2 linked regions of the Coturnix japonica genome follow. The protein of the gene in region 1 purifies or fractionates together with the protein of each later gene. This does not show direct contact. Links are inferred from orthologs where the notes say so. Each region holds a gene or a part of one and is shown on either strand. Other genes may lie near its edges.

The links.
Region 2: the proteins of SELENOS (region 1) and DERL1 purify together in Homo sapiens (affinity purification with western blotting; 6 studies listed by BioGRID and IntAct, with this or other methods). This does not show direct contact. The link is inferred for Coturnix japonica from reciprocal best matches to the Homo sapiens genes SELENOS and DERL1.

The regions. Positions count from the first base shown.
Region 1 is NC_029525.1:15,969,301-15,973,695, forward strand, and holds the start of SELENOS (selenoprotein S), read right to left. Parts: upstream 3,228-4,395; 5' UTR 3,180-3,227; coding exon 3,092-3,179; intron 2,886-3,091; coding exon 2,751-2,885; intron 1,620-2,750; coding exon 1,513-1,619; intron 958-1,512; coding exon 868-957; intron 771-867; coding exon 692-770; intron 271-691; coding exon of another isoform or gene 257-270; exon of another isoform or gene 212-256; intron 1-211. Other genes in the region: SNRPA1 (U2 small nuclear ribonucleoprotein A'), read right to left, coding at 3,490-3,548, 3,648-3,741, 3,896-3,971. UniProt on the Homo sapiens protein: Involved in the degradation process of misfolded endoplasmic reticulum (ER) luminal proteins. Participates in the transfer of misfolded proteins from the ER to the cytosol, where they are destroyed by the proteasome in a ubiquitin-dependent manner.
Region 2 is NC_029517.1:124,321,986-124,326,923, forward strand, and holds the start of DERL1 (derlin-1), read right to left. Parts: upstream 2,969-4,938; 5' UTR 2,843-2,968; coding exon 2,690-2,842; intron 1,298-2,689; coding exon 1,186-1,297; intron 1-1,185. Other genes in the region: TBC1D31 (TBC1 domain family member 31), read left to right, coding at 3,220-3,293, 3,993-4,139. UniProt on the Homo sapiens protein: Functional component of endoplasmic reticulum-associated degradation (ERAD) for misfolded lumenal proteins. Forms homotetramers which encircle a large channel traversing the endoplasmic reticulum (ER) membrane.

The DNA of each region.
Region 1 (4,395 bases):
CCAAGAGGAGAGAAAGGAGAGCAGCTGCACAGCTGATTGACAGCAGTGATCCTTATGTGAAGGATTTAAGGGTACAGACAAGAATTATTAATCCATCAGGACAAATTTCAGTGGTTGACAGTGAGTTTAGTGCTAAGACAGTAATGGTGGATTGCAGAGTTGGTAGCAATTCTATGGATCAGCAGGATTTGTACATCCAAGAGGTCATTACCTCAACACCTGACAAACAAGGTCATATTCTCCTTAATGGAACGTCTCAATGGACAGAATCTACATAATAGAAAGTAAGATATATTCTTCTTACATTTAATTATTATTACAGGTGACTGAAGGACAGACCAAATTAAACAATATGACTTTCAAACCATGAAGGAGGAGACCCAGAAGCACTGCAAGAACCTGCAGTTTTAGTCACAATAATCTCGGTGAGTTGTGGCCAAAATGCTGCCTCTCCCTGGGGAAACACATGAGGGAACTTCCTGCTGCTCTGCCCCAGCTTCACACAGACCACAATGGGTAAAGCTAAAGCACTTACATGGAAGGCACATTTTGTTTCCTCCTTCAATAAGAGGAAAATTATGGGTAATTATAATAATGATGATAATGACTTTGTACACAAGGACACGAGCTGTATGTTGAGCTGCATGCAGCTCTGTCTGAAGATAGAACACCTCAAGGATTCCCTACTTACCACCTCCTCGCAAGGGCTTCTTGTTTGGTTTAGATTTCGGGACTGCTGATGAGGTGGAGGCACCAGGTTCTGCTTCTTGCTGTTCACAAAAGCAAATATTACTCAGAATTCAGTCAACATGAAGTCCAGATAATCTAATGACACACACGTAACCTGATGAATGACACGGCTGTTACCTGACTCAGCTTCAGGTTTCCTTTATAACTTTTTCCTTCCTGCATACTTTCCCACATTTCTATCTTCTGCCTTCGCTTCTGTTCTTCAAGCTAAGAAACAAAAGGAGAATACATCAGACTAAGATTTTAGAATGATCAGAATTGCCATTGCTACAGAAACAGCTACAACAGGATTCATGAAAACCACTGGATCCCTCTTTACCTGATGCAGTATCACATCAAAGAACTCGGATTAATGAGAAATATTACTGTTCTGCTGATCACATTGATTTACAGCTCCAAGATAGCAAGGCCCAAAGCATTCCAGCCACACAAATTCTTGCAGGGAAGCATTAATCACTTCAAGAATGAGCAAAACACTGAACGTATCAATCACTCTAATTAACTAAGTGCAGGAGGACCTCAGGTCAGCGCATCATACAAGTGCACTGAATGGCCATCACGATACCTAACGCCTGTTATCACAAAGTGTATCAAGCCATATGAAAAGCAGATCAGGTGAAGGAGGGAGAAAAATCCCATCACCCCCATTCCAGCAGAGAGATCCTATTCTGGTATCCAGAACCGTATACAGCTTTCTACAACTTTCAGCAAAGCACCTGATGACAAGTCAGTGAGTTAAAGAAAGAAATACTCTCCGGTTACCTGTCTTTGTTTTTCTTTGTATCTTTCTGCTTGTGCATTCAACTCCTCCTGCATCCTGAGACGAGATGCCAACAAAGCTTCTTGTCTTCTTACCACCATGTCAGGCTCTGGGGAATAGGCAGAGAGTTTGCAAAGCAGCTCAGAACAGACTCTAACTGGAACCCTCAAAGAACTGCAATAAGGAAAGGCACACACCTCCCACTGCAGCAGCCCCACAGAAAATCACAGCTCAAGTTCAGTGATTTCTTACATTAACTCATATGCTGATCTAAATTTCTTATTTGAATATTTTAGAGCTGTTATTTGATGGGTTTTTAATGGATGTGGACACTGACGGAACAAACCCATACAAAACTAACATCCGAGCTTTAGGATGTTTGCTTCTATTTCTGGAGGATTTGTTCAATACAAGTAATTTCAGAAATACCATCCATGCATCACAGGAAATCCATTTTTATCCACAGAACCTGTTTGAAGCAGAAGCAGAAGGCAAACAGCCCACATCCACTCCTCCTCCTCCTCCTCAGAACTGCTGCTGCTGCTTGGGTTAAACAGCAAAGCAGTGGCAGATTTAATGTGCTCCATCAGCAGAGAAATTACTCACAAACATCAAACATATCTCAATAGAAAACTGGCAGTCTTGGGAAATCTACGTTAAGAAACCACCTCTGTTCATGATTGGCCTTTAGAAGTTTGGCTTTTTCACACAAAGGATGGTGACACATTGGAACAGGTTGCCCAAGGAGGCTGTGGATGCCCCATTCAAGGCCAGGCTGGATGTGGCTCTGGGCAGCCTGGGCTGCTGGTTGGTGACCTGCACACAGCAGGGGGTTGGAGCTGGATGAGCACTGTGGGCCTTTGCAACCCAGGTCATTCTATCACTCTATGAAGAAGTTAAAAGGAAAACTGGCCCACAGACCACATCCCTCCCCAGTGCCACATCTCCACAGCTCCTGAGCACCTCCAGGACAGCAACTTCACCACCTCCCTGAGCAGCCTGTGCCAATGCACCACTGTTCTTTTCTTCCTGATATCCAACCCAATCCTCCTTTAGCGCAATTTAAGGCCTTTATCTGTCATCTGACCATCTGTCTAACACCTATTGCTGTTACCTGGGAGCAGAAGCTGATCCCCCCCAGCCCCTCACCACAGCCTCTTCTCAGCGACCAGCAGGAAGCAATAACGTTTCCCCCAAGCCTTTTTCTCCACACTGACCCATCCCAGCTCCCCGTACAAACCAACAGCTGCTCCAGCCGCTCCCTGCTGGCTGCTGGACCTCAGCCTCAGCTTTGGGGCCATCTTCTGGACGATGAAATAGATGGCGACGCAGGCCAGGAGGATGTACCAGCCATAGCTGGACAGCAGGGCGCCCACTGGGAAGGGAACAAGGACTCGGTCTCATCCCCTCAGCGCTGCACAAGGACACGGCGGCTCCCATCCCCTCACAGCACCGCAGCTCGTAGGCCCAGCTCCCCCCGCCCCAGGCCTAGTTCTCCTCACCCGCTGCCCCCAAACCCCGCTGTCCCCATCCCATCCCATCCCATATCCCCCATCCCATATCCCATATCCCATATCCCACCCGTGTGCTGTAGCAGCTCGAGTCCCTCCCGTTCCAACGCCGGTTTCCCAGGGCCCGGCCCGGCCCCGCCGCGCTCCCCCAGCTCCATGGCTCCACTGCCGCCTCACGGCCGAGAGCCGCCCCCCCGCCAATCACCGCCCTCCTCGTCCACACCACAACCAATCACCGCCCTCCTCGTCCACACCGCAGCCAATCACCGCCCTCCTCGTCCTCTGCCGCCTCGCGGACAGAACGCCAATCACGAAACGAAAAGGGTGACATCACGGTTACATGAACCAATGGGAATTAGAAAGGAAGTGCAAAGGGACCAATCGCGAAGCCGCCCCCACCCCCCGGGTGCATGAAGCGGGCCGGGCAATGGCGGAGCGGACACGGAGCTTTATTAACGCGGAGCGGGGCTACGGGACCGACGGAACCGGGTCCTCATCCATCTCCTCCTCGTTGTCCTCGGCGGAGCCTGGAAGAGCAGGAAGCAGCACGTCAACCTCGAGGGTTTCAAGTCCCTCCCAGCACACGGAGGTTCACAGTTAAAGAGGGTTTAGCAAAGCAAACCGACCTGCTTTGCGTTCCCTGCCGGGGATCTGGCCGGCCTGCAATAAACCCTTGAGCCGCTCCACCTCGGCCAACGTGGAGGCGTTTGCTATGGCAGCCTGAAAGACAACGGGACATAAAGTGTCAGCACATTGAGAATGAATGAACAGCACTGAGCAACAAAACACCTCGTTGTTAAGCTGGGACGCCTCGTTAAGCTGTGACACCTGAAGGTTCTATGCTTCCCCTCCTGTCTAAGCGCTCTGCACTCACCTTAATCGCCTCCACGTCACCCGGGGACGGCCCGGCTTTCTTCTTGTCTGTAGGCAGAGCAGCGCCTGGATTGAAGCTGCAGAGGGATAAAAGCAAAGAGGGATCGTTAATATCTGGGAGCAACGTGTGCTTCTCTCACTTCCAAAGCAGGTTTGGAAGCGTTTCAATCAATCAAGTGTAGTATCTTCTCTTTGTTAACAAACTGATACAGTGATGAATGGCCTCCTTCAGAAACACCAACCGCTTGGATTTGTCCTCACTGTCCCATCCCCTTCCCCCCCCCCAGATCTTTTCATCTGCTCATAATGAGGCAGACTGGCACCTTAGAATTAAGCGGCTGATGAAAGCTGTTGGATTTGGATGTTGTTGAACCATCACACAAAGCAGAGTGAATGGAATTGGATTTCAGTATCTCACAGGATACTGGGACAGCCTATGTAAAATGAATGGTGGAAGTTCCTTGTGAGTTACCTGCTGCTGCTTAAAGGACAGCAGACGTT
Region 2 (4,938 bases), on another chromosome or scaffold:
TGACTTTCTTCCAGAAGACTTCTGCCACAGCACAACCAGCATAAACCTTTTGTAGAATACATCCAAGAAGTGATGTCTTATAATTCCTCTATATCCACCATGAACTCTCATTCCATATAGCTTTGTGCAGCTGAATGTCGTGACTGTTCTTACTCACAAGCATGTATTTGTTTATAACCTTCCACCAACAGACCAGGAACTGTTTCTAGTTACTGAACTACAACTACTTTAATTAAGAAAACAACCAAATACAATATGGCATCATGGTCACACTCCTTTATTTCCCTGTTATTCTTATGACTTAAAAGGTACCCCACAAGACTCTCCTAAAGACAGGTTGATGGGGAAAGCTCCCTACAGCAGGTCTTTCCTAATTCCCCCCCTATCTTGCAGAGCATTTCCACTTCAACCATCAGCTTTGAGACTGTATTATTACTACACTGAAATCTCTGCTCAAAAAGGCTTTTAGAAGGATTTTAGCTTTGTAAGTGCTTTGATTATTTAATTGAAACAATTATTGTCTAGCTTCAACAAACTACACAATACAAAAAGACTCATTTGAAGCCACCTTCTAACTTATTTCCCCTTTAAGCAAATTAAAATGAAGATTCTTTTCCACTGTCTGATTTCCTGCCTTCTACCCTCAAGATCCAACTCGTTCCTTAACTTTTCACATGTCTATTTGACAGAAGAGTACACTGCATTTGTAGAGGATCTCTCTCAATTCAAAACAACATAAAGAAGAATACAAATAAGAATCTTTGCCTTTAAAAAGAGAAAAAGCATGACCACTATTTTGTCAAGAAGGATACACCTGTTATTACATATGCTGTATCATACCTTCATATTAAAAGACATTAGACATAAGGAAACAGAAGTAAAACTACCTTTCAGTCTCACTTTCACTTCCTGATATCTGTCAACTAGAAGCACCAATTCCTCCTGCAGAAAGAAGGATCCCAACTGAACAGGCTCCCTGCCCCAAAGTCACAAAGTTCTCAGTGCAGTTTCTCCTTTGACTGACATCAGAGGGCACAGAGATGAGCCCTATTCCTCAGCTCTTTCTGAATCAACCACAGTTCCATTACTCCCAAACAGTCCCAGCAGGAGCTCTGTCTGTCATTGCAAGGACTCCATTAACTCGAGACAGTTTACCATTTGCATACGACTTAATGGACGACGTACCTGTTTCTAAACGTGATGAATATTGATACAGGAAATACAAATTCACCAAGTACAGAAAACCTGTTCCAGGTCCCACCGGGAAGAAGAAAGTTGCTGTTATTGGCCGCCATATCTAAAAAGAGCAAAGAAAAGGACATATTTATATGAATGAGATCATACACAAGGCTTATTAGTTTTAACAGGAAGATTAAGAAATAGATTAAAAATAGCTCAAGTATCACTTACCACTGTTTGAGCAGCCACAACAGTTGCTTCTTAATTTGACAAGCAAATCTATTTAGATTACAACAGCAATCACACAACTTTCCCAAGCACTTCCATAACACCCACACAGCACCGAGTCTTCAGTGCAGCAAAGGAATCTGCTTGCAATCCCATTTTAAAAGGGGATACAGAATTGACTCTGATCTGTTGCACAAGAAGGAGGAAGCCCACACAGCAACCTTCATTGAGCACCTTGCAGCAGCGGCCTGCTTTGGTTTCTTCACTAGAAGGACCTGGGGGTCCTGCAATTGAGAATGAAAGAGTCAACATGAGCGAATGCGCTTTGCAGCCCGGAAAGCAATGGAGAATCCTGGGCTCCATCAGGCGAGGGAAGTGTCAGCAGGCGATAGGGAGGTGATGACTGCAATCCATATAATAACATCTGCTTATTGTTGAGGCCACCCATCTGTTGCACTGTGATCCGTTGTGGAGCCCTCGTAACAAGAAGACATGGAGATTTTGGAAAGCGGTCCGAGGGGCGAGAAGATGAATAAAGAGGGCTGAGAAAGACCTCCCCTGACTGAGGAGACAGGCTGAAGGGAGTTGGGTTGTTCAGCCATAGAGAGGTATGCGAAGGTAGACCTCATATAGATATTCGTACTGGAAGGAACTTACTCCAGGAGGTACTCTTTGAAGGCTGACATAGCAGGACGGGGAATGGTTATTTAAGATTAAAGAGAGGAAGATTTAGGTTGGAGATATAAGGGGAAAGTTCTACTAGGAGAAGTGGTTGGTCCTGGACAGGAGTGAGCAGGGACGGTTGTGGATCCGCACGTCATTGGAGGTGATTCAAACGCAACCAGGCCTTGACGGGGCAACTGGGCAAACTAGATCTAAGCATAAGGTGAATTGTTATGGTGGACCTGCCAGGCAGGAGGAAACATACATGGTTGGAAGCATACATGTCGTTGAAGGATCCTTTCAAACCTGAGACTTCATTCTGCGATTCTGTGTGATTCTGTGATAGAGCTCCGATGCTGACACATAATATGAGTGCAAAGGCACCTCCTCAACTCAAACCACAAAGGTGATGTCCCGGCGTTACACCCTCACAGGTGCCATAGTGGCCGTGTCACCCTGTTGCCGCACTGCCCGTCCCGGACACAGGCCACGGCAGGGAGGCACGGCCGCCTTCTTGCAGCCCCGCACTACAACCCCCAGCATGCCCCGCGCGCCCGGCCCAGGCTCGCCTCAGCGATGGCGCCGCGAAGCACGCTGGGATTGGTAGTGCGGCCCGTACCTGGAAGCGGTTGATGAAAGCGTCGGGCCAAAGGAAGAGGTAGACGGGGCTGACGAGGCCCAACTTGCCGATGAGCGGCACCGCGATGGAGCCGGCGAACCAGTAACGGGTGATGAGAGGGATGCTCCGGAACCAGTCCCCCAAGTCCGACATGTCGCCTCCACCGAGGACTCCCAGGAACCGGGAGCTGAGGGCGCTGTGTGAGCTGAGGGAGCTGAGGGAGCTCAGGGAGCGGTGCCGGAAGGGCCGGGCCACAACCAGACGTGGCGCCGCACAGTTCGACCCATCCGCTGACTTCCGGCCCCGCCTCCAGGCTGCACTGAGAACTACAGCTCCCTGCGTGCCCCGAGATCCAGTCGGGCTGATCCATTCCATGCTGGAGGAGGGGGGGAATCTCCCGCCTTCTTCCCGCCGCTCCCCGTCGGTAAAGGGGGAGCGGGTTGTACCAAGTGTGCGGCACCCCCCGCGGCGGCGGCAGTTGAGAGAGCCCTGAGGGGAGTCGGCGAGCGCGGGAGCGGCGTTGTGTGAGGATGGCGAGCTGCGATGTGGGCTGCAGGGAGCACGGCGCATTATGGCAGCGCAAACACAGCCCGGCAACGGGCGGGTAACAGCGGGGCACGGACAGGCCGAGGGCACGGGGGGATGTGGGTGGCCATAGCTACGTGGCCGTACAGATGTGCACTTGCACTTGGTGTACACACCAGTACCTGCAGACATGTAGTGGTTATATTGCTTTCCAGGCATTCAGTGGCTCAGAGGCATCCCTATTTTACCTTAGTGTGGTCACACTATCCAATATTCTACACAGTTTTAGTTACTTACTCTGACTGACCAGGTTGGACAGGGCCCTGGGCAACCTGATCTAGTAAAGGTGTATGTTTGGTGGCCCTGCCAGGCAGGGGGGTTGGAACTACATGATCCTTGAGGTCCCTTCCAACCCGGCTCATTCTGTGATTCTGTGACTGAATTTACATCCAGATGATGTAGGAGATAACTGGTCATACAATAATACAAATGAAAATCAGGTCACGAGTAGCTGCATAACAGGACCATGAGTGGTGGGATTCCTCCTGCCTGCTTTACTCTCTAACATTATTTTTTCAACATAGCAACTGACTTCCTTTGTTTAGTATATATCTTTTATATTACAAAGACCTATTTCTCGTGGAAGGTTTCTCACAGAACACTACGAATGATTAGAACTGTAAAACAGTGATCAAGGGAGATTTTAATCTTAGGGCTTGGAAAAATACGTGGCTATAAAACAACTCAAAACGATTGTTTTTGTCTGCTTTCTTTACAGGGTTATAGTGAACATCATTCATAGTGCTACAGGGTATCACTCCAAGGCGATACGTTTTCTGAATGTGGCTTTTGACAGCTCTGGAGATTCTCTGCTTGCTGGAGACCACCAAGGAAATATATACGTTTTTGACCTGAATGGAAACAGGTAAGAATACCTATAGAATGCCATTTTAACTGTTTTGATACCTGCAATATTCAGGGTTATGGAAGTTGCCTGTCACTGTGCCACATGTTTGTAACCATTTATTTTCCATGGCTGTGCAGATAGTTGGTGGTTTTCTCAGAGCTGAAGCTGCAAGCCAGTATTTCATGTAGGTTCCCTGTGTACTATTGTATTAGTTAAGCTGCTGCTGCAAAGGATAAGAACTTCGTAACCAAACTGAACAAACATCAATTCCATTTGGTGATGGAAAACTACCAAAGGAGTTGTGCTATCAATTAATAGTACAAGCCAGGAATTACAGCCACCTGGTATTGTCATTTACAGAAATACATTCATAAAATCATAGAATTACCCAGGTTGGAAAAGACCTTGAAGATCATCAAGTCCAACCGCAGCCTAACCAGTACCTTAACTCTAACAACCCTACACTAAATCATATCCCTGAGCACCACAACCAAACGGCTCTTAAACACAACCAGGGATGGCGATTCAACCACCTCCCTTGGAAGCCTATTCCAGTACATAACCACCCTTTCTGTAAAGAAGTTCTTCCTAATATCCAACCTAAACTTGCCCTGGCGCAACTTGAGGCCATATTCATATCTTTTCAAGTGTGTGCTTTCAAGTTGGTACTGCTACTTACACGTAGTATAAGAAGATATGATTTCTTTCCTCTCTTCTTTTGAGTTCATTTTTCTCTTAGTGAAATATATATTGAAACTGATTAACTTAATACCTCACTTGACATTATGAACCAAAGCTTCCTTACACAATGAGAACA